Linked DNA regions of Tribolium castaneum. The protein of the gene in region 1 purifies or fractionates together with the protein of each later gene. This does not show direct contact. Links are inferred from orthologs where the notes say so. Each region holds a gene or a part of one and is shown on either strand. Other genes may lie near its edges.

Region 1 (3,654 bases):
TATTTTTTTAATAATAATAATAATAATAATGAATTAAACACTTAAACACACCGATTTATTTTGGCTTTGGAGCGCCACGTAGCTCAGACTTTCCGGATGTATTACGAAAAGTCGCGCTTCGTAGGCCGATTCGCCCTCATTTGCGACATTGGCCTCCAAAATGAGTTCCTTCTCCACCCCCAGATTGAACAAATAGTGACCCTCGGGTGTTTCTGTTTGAAAAAAAAACAATTTTTCTTTCACACAATTGAGTGAATAAAACCAACCGTTAAGTGCCAATGGACGTGCATTTAGAATCAATTTGCTCCTGCAAATGTCATCCGGGCCGCAGTTTTTCTGGAACGTGGCTTCGAAAGTCTTGATTGAAGTTTTATTCAAAATTGGTGAATCCACATCGTCTTTATAAATCGTGTAGTTTACTTGGAACTAAAAATATTTTCCTGTTTACATTTTCAAGTCTTGCGGGACGATTTATTTATTACCGAAATGGGCGAGAGAATATCGCCGTTTCCTTCAATAAGATAGGCCGTTTCGCTGGTGCAATATTCACGTGAGATATCCGTAACTGTGATCATTTTTGTGACAAATGTGTCGTTGCCGATTGTTACACGTGGTGCTTTCTTCGGCAATTCCTTGATTTCGTAGCGAATGTCGATGTCCTTAGTTAGGCGAAATTTGCGGAATTTGAAACAAGTCTTGAACGAAAAACTGAAAAATCGTGTTAGAAAAACAGCTCAACAGTTATTCTAGTTCAAAATTTCTTTGCTTTGGAACAAGTAAACGTGCTTAACACAGAGGGAAAATGTCATATTCTGACTTAAAAGAAAAATTTGTGTTAATGTTGGGTTGAAAACGCCATATTTTAGACGATTCTTTGCTTAGAAATGAGAAAACTTTAATAAAACACACTGAAAACGCCTTATTTTGGCTCAAAAGGACAAACTATATGTTATAGTTTGGGTGAAAACGGCTTATTTCGAACAATTCTTTGCTTAGAAATGAGAAAACTTTAATAAAACACACTGAAAACGCCTTATTTTGGCTCAAAAGGACAAACTATATGTTATAGTTTGGGTGAAAACGGCTTATTTCGAACAATTCTTTGCTTAGAAATGAGAAAACTTTAATAAAACACACTGAAAACGCCTTATTTTGGCTCAAAAGGACAAACTATATGTTATAGTTTGGGTGAAAACGGCTTATTTCGAACAATTCTTTGCTTCGAAATGAGAAAACTTTAATAAAACACACTGAAAACGCCTTATTTTGCCTCAAAAGGACAAACTATGTGTTATAGTTTGGGTGAAAACGGCTTATTTCGAACAATTCTTTGCTTAGAAATGAGAAAACTTTAATAAAACACACTGAAAACGCCTTATTTTGCCTCAAAAGGACAAACTATATGTTATAGTTTGGGTGAAAACGGCTTATCTCAGACGATTTTTTGCTTAGAAACGAGTAAACTTTCATAAAACAAACTTCATTCATTTTCGAGAAATATTCTTTGTGTTTTTTTGCCACAATAATTACTGAAAAAAAATTCTTTAAACTTACCAAGTTTTGTCGCTGTGCGGATCCTCCCGACATCCCTTCTTGGACGCATTAATATTCCTCAACTCATCCCCCACCACCCTAATCCCAATATCAATAATGGGCCTAGTTTTGAACAAAATAACCCGTTCGGAGTCATACAGCCCCACTAACAAATCGGGATAATCATTCAAGTCCATATCCATGCCACCACTCAACGAATAGCCCACAGTTTTAAGTCCTTCCCTTTCCCCAAACTTGATAATTTGCGAGGGTTCGCTTCTCAGCCCCCCTTTCTGGCCCAGATAAATGTAAACAGCCCCGGTATTGTCCTCATACGGGGCCCCAATTGCCACGTCAATAAAACCGTCCTTATTTATATCGCCAAGTGCAGTCATCGAAAAACCGAACCTTGACTCAGCTTTGCCTGTGAAAATCTGACTGGGGGCGCACTTATCTCTCGTACAGTTGCGCAAATTGTTGTAAATGTAGACGGCGCCCCCGTGGTCTTTGTCGTAGTAAAAGGGGGCTGCCACGAGCAGTTCATCGTAGCCGTCTTGTTCAAAATCCACGGCCAAAATTTCGTAACCGAAGCTGGACCCGAACTGCGTCCCGTTGATTATCAGGCGAATGTTGAGCTGTTCCTCTGATTTGGTTTTATTGAAGAAAAAGACTTGTCCGCTTAGGTTGGAGCGTGAGGCTCCCGAGACGTAAGTTAGGGTTTTTTTCGAGAAAAAGTGGCCCCCGGTTACGCTCATTCCGAGGTAGCTGTACTTGGCTATGGGGGTGTCTTGGTCGTTTAGGGGGCCTCTGTAGACGGTCTTGTCCCGTTCGAGGAAACTACCGACTACATTTTTGGCAAAAATTGTCCCGCGCCAAGTGTAAGGCCCGGGGGATCCCATTAACACGAAGTCGTCGGAGAGGAAGGCGAGACTTGTGCCCACTTGGCAATAACCGTACTGTTGATGCAATCTAGAGAGGGAAATAATTTTTTTAACACACAACAGTCAGGGGGCAGTTTTTATGTCCAAAGCACATTATTTTTGCAAGTTCTGAGGACATTTTTAGACCAAAAATTTACTCAAAAAAAACTCAATTATTGCGCAAAATTTCTTAAAAAGCAGAAAAATTAGTTACTTTTCTACGGGCCGGCCTTTGCACGGCTCCAGGGCGTCCTCCACGTTCAGCTCGTTGTTCAGCAGGTAGCAGAGCCCGTATCCATAGTGGTGTGAAGTCAAGTTCGGGCTCTGGATGTACCTGTGTGCACAAACCACCACTTTTCCGCCCGGTTTTTGCGACTTGACTGTTACTCCCAGCCACTGATTATCCTTGATTTCGTCGTTTGACGGTGGCGAAAGCACTGCTTCGTTTCTCGTTGACGGTGTGTCCTCATAGTCGAAAACATTGACTAAAAAAAATCAATCAGTCCGTGTTTCTCCTTTCGTAGTTATAGTGTTAGTAAGATGCACAAAATCTGAACAACGGTTTCAAAATGGTTTGAAACTTGGAGTTAGTAAAAAAAATCATATCAAACGTGTACTACAGGCCGAGGCCCTTTTGCTGTACAATGCTGCTATTTACATGTATTTTTTTGTATAAAAATGAAGCTGAGGATGATGCGAAAACACACACTTCAAATTATTGTCATCGAAAAACGCTCAAGTACCACAAAAATAGGTGGTCTCTCGGGGTTATTACATTAATGTTGTGTTATTCATTAATTTCAAATAAGCCGAAGAACCCAAAGGACTACAGCATTAAATATTCGCGACTTTTCTCAAATCATGTTTCACGTCGTTTTTGACACAACAGCACAATTATTATTTTTTATTTTAATTTTTCTATGCCTTTTCAACCCTTTCCAGTTCTGAAAAGTGCAAGAAAATCAATTGCTTCGATTTTTTTATGTTTGATTTTTGCAATTTTTGTCGCGATTTTGGTCGATTTCCGGGTGTCCGGATCATTTATCGAGCAATAACTCCGGAACTATTAGAGATAACCCTATGAAGTGTATTATCATTGGAAAGCTCTTTAAATTACCTATCTTTTTTAAAAAAGATGATTGTTCTCCGACTAATAGTTTTCGAGAAAATTGCAGATAAATGAAAAAATTAGTAAAATTTT
Region 2 (3,754 bases), on another chromosome or scaffold:
TACAACAATGATGTTGCTGCTCATTTCAGGATTCGAGACATTTAAACAACTTGTAATACACGAAAATTACGATATTATTGCTTTACCCGAAACAGTCCTAGCCCCCACTGAAAACAAAGAAGTAGTTTCTATCCCCAATTATTCTTTAGTAGAGAACCGTAAGAATAGTGGCGACGGCGTGGTTTTGTACATAAAAAATTCGCTTAAATATAAAGTTGTTGATTTGACAGCCGATAATCCGGAAGAGCCTCAGTTGAATTTCGATCAACTTTTGGACAAACTGAAACAGAGTGGTAAGTGCTTCATGATCACGCCATCATCAAGCACACCACCATCGTCTCTCATTTAAAAAACTGCCAATTCCTGTTACTATTTACATTTTCTAAAGCTGCAGCAGCTCCGGCGACAGAAGGCGAAACACCAGCAGCTCCTGCTGGAGAGGCTCCTGCCGTTCCTGCCGGAGAGGCTCCAGCCGCTCCTGCTGCGGAAGCTCCGGCCGCTCCTGTTGAGGGAGCTCCAGCGGAAGCGCCCCCTGCAGCTGCAACAGCGGAAACACCAGCAGTGCCGGCGGAAACACCTCCTGCTGAAGCACCACCAGCTGAAGCTGCGCCGGCTGCTGAAGCCGCTCCTGCTGAAACTGCCCCTGCTGAACCTGCCGCTGAAACTGAAACTGAGGTGCCGCCAGTTGAAGCATCAGCTACTCCTATCATTGAAGGTAAAAATCGAAAATTCACGTTATCTGATAGTGTAATCCGTTATCATATTTTCAGCTGCCGCTTAAAAATGAAGCCATATCTGTGCCGCCACGCTGCTATTGTTCCACTTTGTTTTATTATTGAACTGTTTGATTTATTTTATTGTAGTTTTTGAGAAATATATTATTTTTTAGACTTTGTCCATTTGTTTTATTGACGGAAGTGTATCCGAAAATCACTCCCATGGTCATAAACCCATTGTTGCGGTTCGTCCTACCCATCAACTAGTCACGTGATGCAAGAGCACGCGTATGTTAGAAATTTAATCCGTTCCTCCGTCAGTGCGCAACCGACAAGCTGTAGTGAGATATTTTGTGTTGTGTGGTTTGAAAGAAACATCGTGGGTTGAAAAATTAACATAAATTTCTTATTTGGATAAAACTGTGGCAATGTAAACATTCTACAGTCTTGGAAACACAAAAAAAGTAAGTCAAATATTTTTTCTTTTTTTTTTAAATAAATCATTCAACAATTAGATGATTAATATCGAATGCTTAATTCACGTTCTGAATTGGTTTGTTGAGGTAGCATTATTGCTTGTCTTGCCAGGTTTTTATTTCACCAAGGTTAAATGATGTATAGCACATTTAAATTTATTCAAAACTTCCTTTTAACAAAATTTGTCGACGAAAAATAAATAAAATGTAACGCAGACTGTTTAGTCACAAGAACATACTTACTTTTATTTATCAAAGGTTATAAATTATCGTTGATAAAAGGTCGATTGTGACGTAGCGCCATACATTTTTATTATTTTTAATCATTTGTAAAAGTTAAATTAATTTGGCAAATTTCAATTAACACAATAACATAATTGGTTTATTCCCAAAATATAAATGAGAAAAAAGTAATACTAATAATTATTTACACGATGACACTCTTCTGGTATATTTGTGGAGCACCCACCTACCTTGAGTAAATATATATTTTTATTTAGCTTTGAAATTCCTTCCTATTATGACTTCCCAGACAAGCAGAAAATATTACAAGTTTTCTAATTTTAACACGTACGTGACAATTAAAAATGTGTTTTCAAGATAATGTATCTTCTAACAAGATTTTTAAATAATTCACGTCCGAAACCGTGTTTAAAAAACATTGCGAGATTCTAGGTTTAAAATTATCCCCTGTATTGAGTTGCATTTTGTAATAATTTTATTTCTGTATGCGAAGTATTGCGAAGCCAGTGGAGAGGATGTAATCTTGACTGGCAACTTTGAAAATCTATTGGACGTCCAAATTTACTAGTGCTAAAATTGTGCTAAGTGCTAAAATGATAATTGGTTTCAATGTTTTCCTGCACGCGAAATAAATCGTATTTCAACGAGTGCAAGTCGGATCAAAGAACGCCTAATAAGGTTTCCTTACATCATTAAAAATCTTGACCAGAACCCGACCTCGTGGTTTTATAAATTCTGAGAGTATAACCACTGGTATGTCCGTTTATTCAAATCGAATTACCTACCTAGTTATTAAAAAAAATACGCTTTTTGAGTGTTGCAACAGGATTTGATGTTAATACTGAGATTTCGGGTTTTCCAGTGATACAACATGATAAGTCATGTATTGTTTTTATGTTAATTTTAGTTGTCCTTTTTGGATGCTTGCCATTTAAATTTTAAAATCTTTGACGACGTAATCGCACTTGCGACAAAGTCCAGAATGACATTTTCAGTTGGAGATTCTGAATTTTTTTTAGATGGCACCATCGAACTTTACCTCCGGTTAACAATTTTACGTTAAATATTTGCCAAGGAAAGCCTTATTATCTGGGTACAGTGTTGCAAACTGTTAGCAAACATACTTTCAAGTCAACAGAAAGTCATTTTGGATCACTTCGTATGTAGTAAATTATCGTAGATTTTTTGTGTTGTGTTCGGCAATTTGGTGAAAATAAAAAACAGTGACCAAGAACGATAGTTTGAGTTGGCATTACTGAATTTAAGATGTACTTCCCTTTAGTTAAAGTAAATAGAAAGATAAGCCGCAAACTTGTTACGAAACATGTATATGCTGAACAAATAAAAATAATATCCGGTTGCAGTATTCCTCTTAAAATTTTGTTGCCAACTTAAACAGCCAATTTTAAGTACATGGTAAGTATAACTTATAATTAATTGTATCAGAAGTGATTAATATTTTTTTTCTTTTCTCTCCTCAAAACTGAGTGAAAATTGAAAATAAAACATGGTACATGATAAATCCATTTATTTTAAGTTTTTTTGAAATTTGACGAAATAATCCTATAACAATAAACAATAGAAATAAAAAAGCAGACTGTATATTCTTTATCTCGACCTTATCAACCTGAAAAACGCTCTTATCTATGGTTTGATGACAAGAGAAATTTTTGTAAACTCTTGAAGGGATTATTACAAATTTAAAATTTTTGGGAACATATTTTTATTAGTACTACAGTGGTGTCCGAAAATGCATCAAATTCAGTTTGTTGTATCCGAGGTTTGCCATAAGCGGTAATAAAAAAGTGTCGTTTTAGCAGTTATTTTTACTTTACATGTGAAATAAAACGAAATAAATAAGTACACGTCCTATTGTAAACAAAAACTTGAATCCCTTACGAAACAGTTATAGATTCGGAAGAAATGTATGAGAGATTTGGTCTGATCTCTGAGCTTAGTTCTTCAAATTCTTTTACACTGACTTAAAATTAGCAAAAACTACAACAGGAAAACAAGTCCTGACACAAAAAAAAATAAAAATGTAAAAATTTGTTAAATGTACCTAAAAGTTTGTTATGAACGGGAATTGCATCACATTTCAAATCAAATCTAGTTCGTTATATCCGGAAGATCGTTATAACCGGGTTCGTTATAGCAGGACTCTACTGTATTTTGATTTCATATGAAATCCAGTACGAAATTATGTGTTTGGCAAAATATTTGTTTATTTATTTTATAGCGGATTTACTGACATTTTTAAGCATACGTAACGTACTTAAATGCCTAAATACGAACTTTAATCTCGCCTTTAATACATAT

What was found. Proteins that work in one complex are often made in the same cells at the same time.
Region 2: the proteins of integrin alpha-PS1 (region 1) and CD151 antigen purify together in Homo sapiens (co-immunoprecipitation; 3 studies listed by BioGRID and IntAct, with this or other methods). This does not show direct contact. The link is inferred for Tribolium castaneum from reciprocal best matches to the Homo sapiens genes ITGA6 and CD151.

The regions. Positions count from the first base shown.
Region 1 is NC_087399.1:982,129-985,782, forward strand, and holds part of integrin alpha-PS1, read right to left. Parts: intron 2,939-3,654; coding exon 2,668-2,938; intron 2,503-2,667; coding exon 1,555-2,502; intron 709-1,554; coding exon 483-708; intron 427-482; coding exon 267-426; intron 213-266; coding exon 52-212; intron 1-51. UniProt on the Homo sapiens protein: Integrin alpha-6/beta-1 (ITGA6:ITGB1) is a receptor for laminin on platelets. Integrin alpha-6/beta-1 (ITGA6:ITGB1) is present in oocytes and is involved in sperm-egg fusion.
Region 2 is NC_087402.1:7,271,053-7,274,806, forward strand, and holds the start of CD151 antigen, read left to right. Parts: upstream 1-1,026; 5' UTR 1,027-1,180; intron 1,181-3,754. Other genes in the region: wupA (tropomyosin-1, isoforms 33/34), read left to right, coding at 30-293, 389-715, 771-781. UniProt on the Homo sapiens protein: Structural component of specialized membrane microdomains known as tetraspanin-enriched microdomains (TERMs), which act as platforms for receptor clustering and signaling.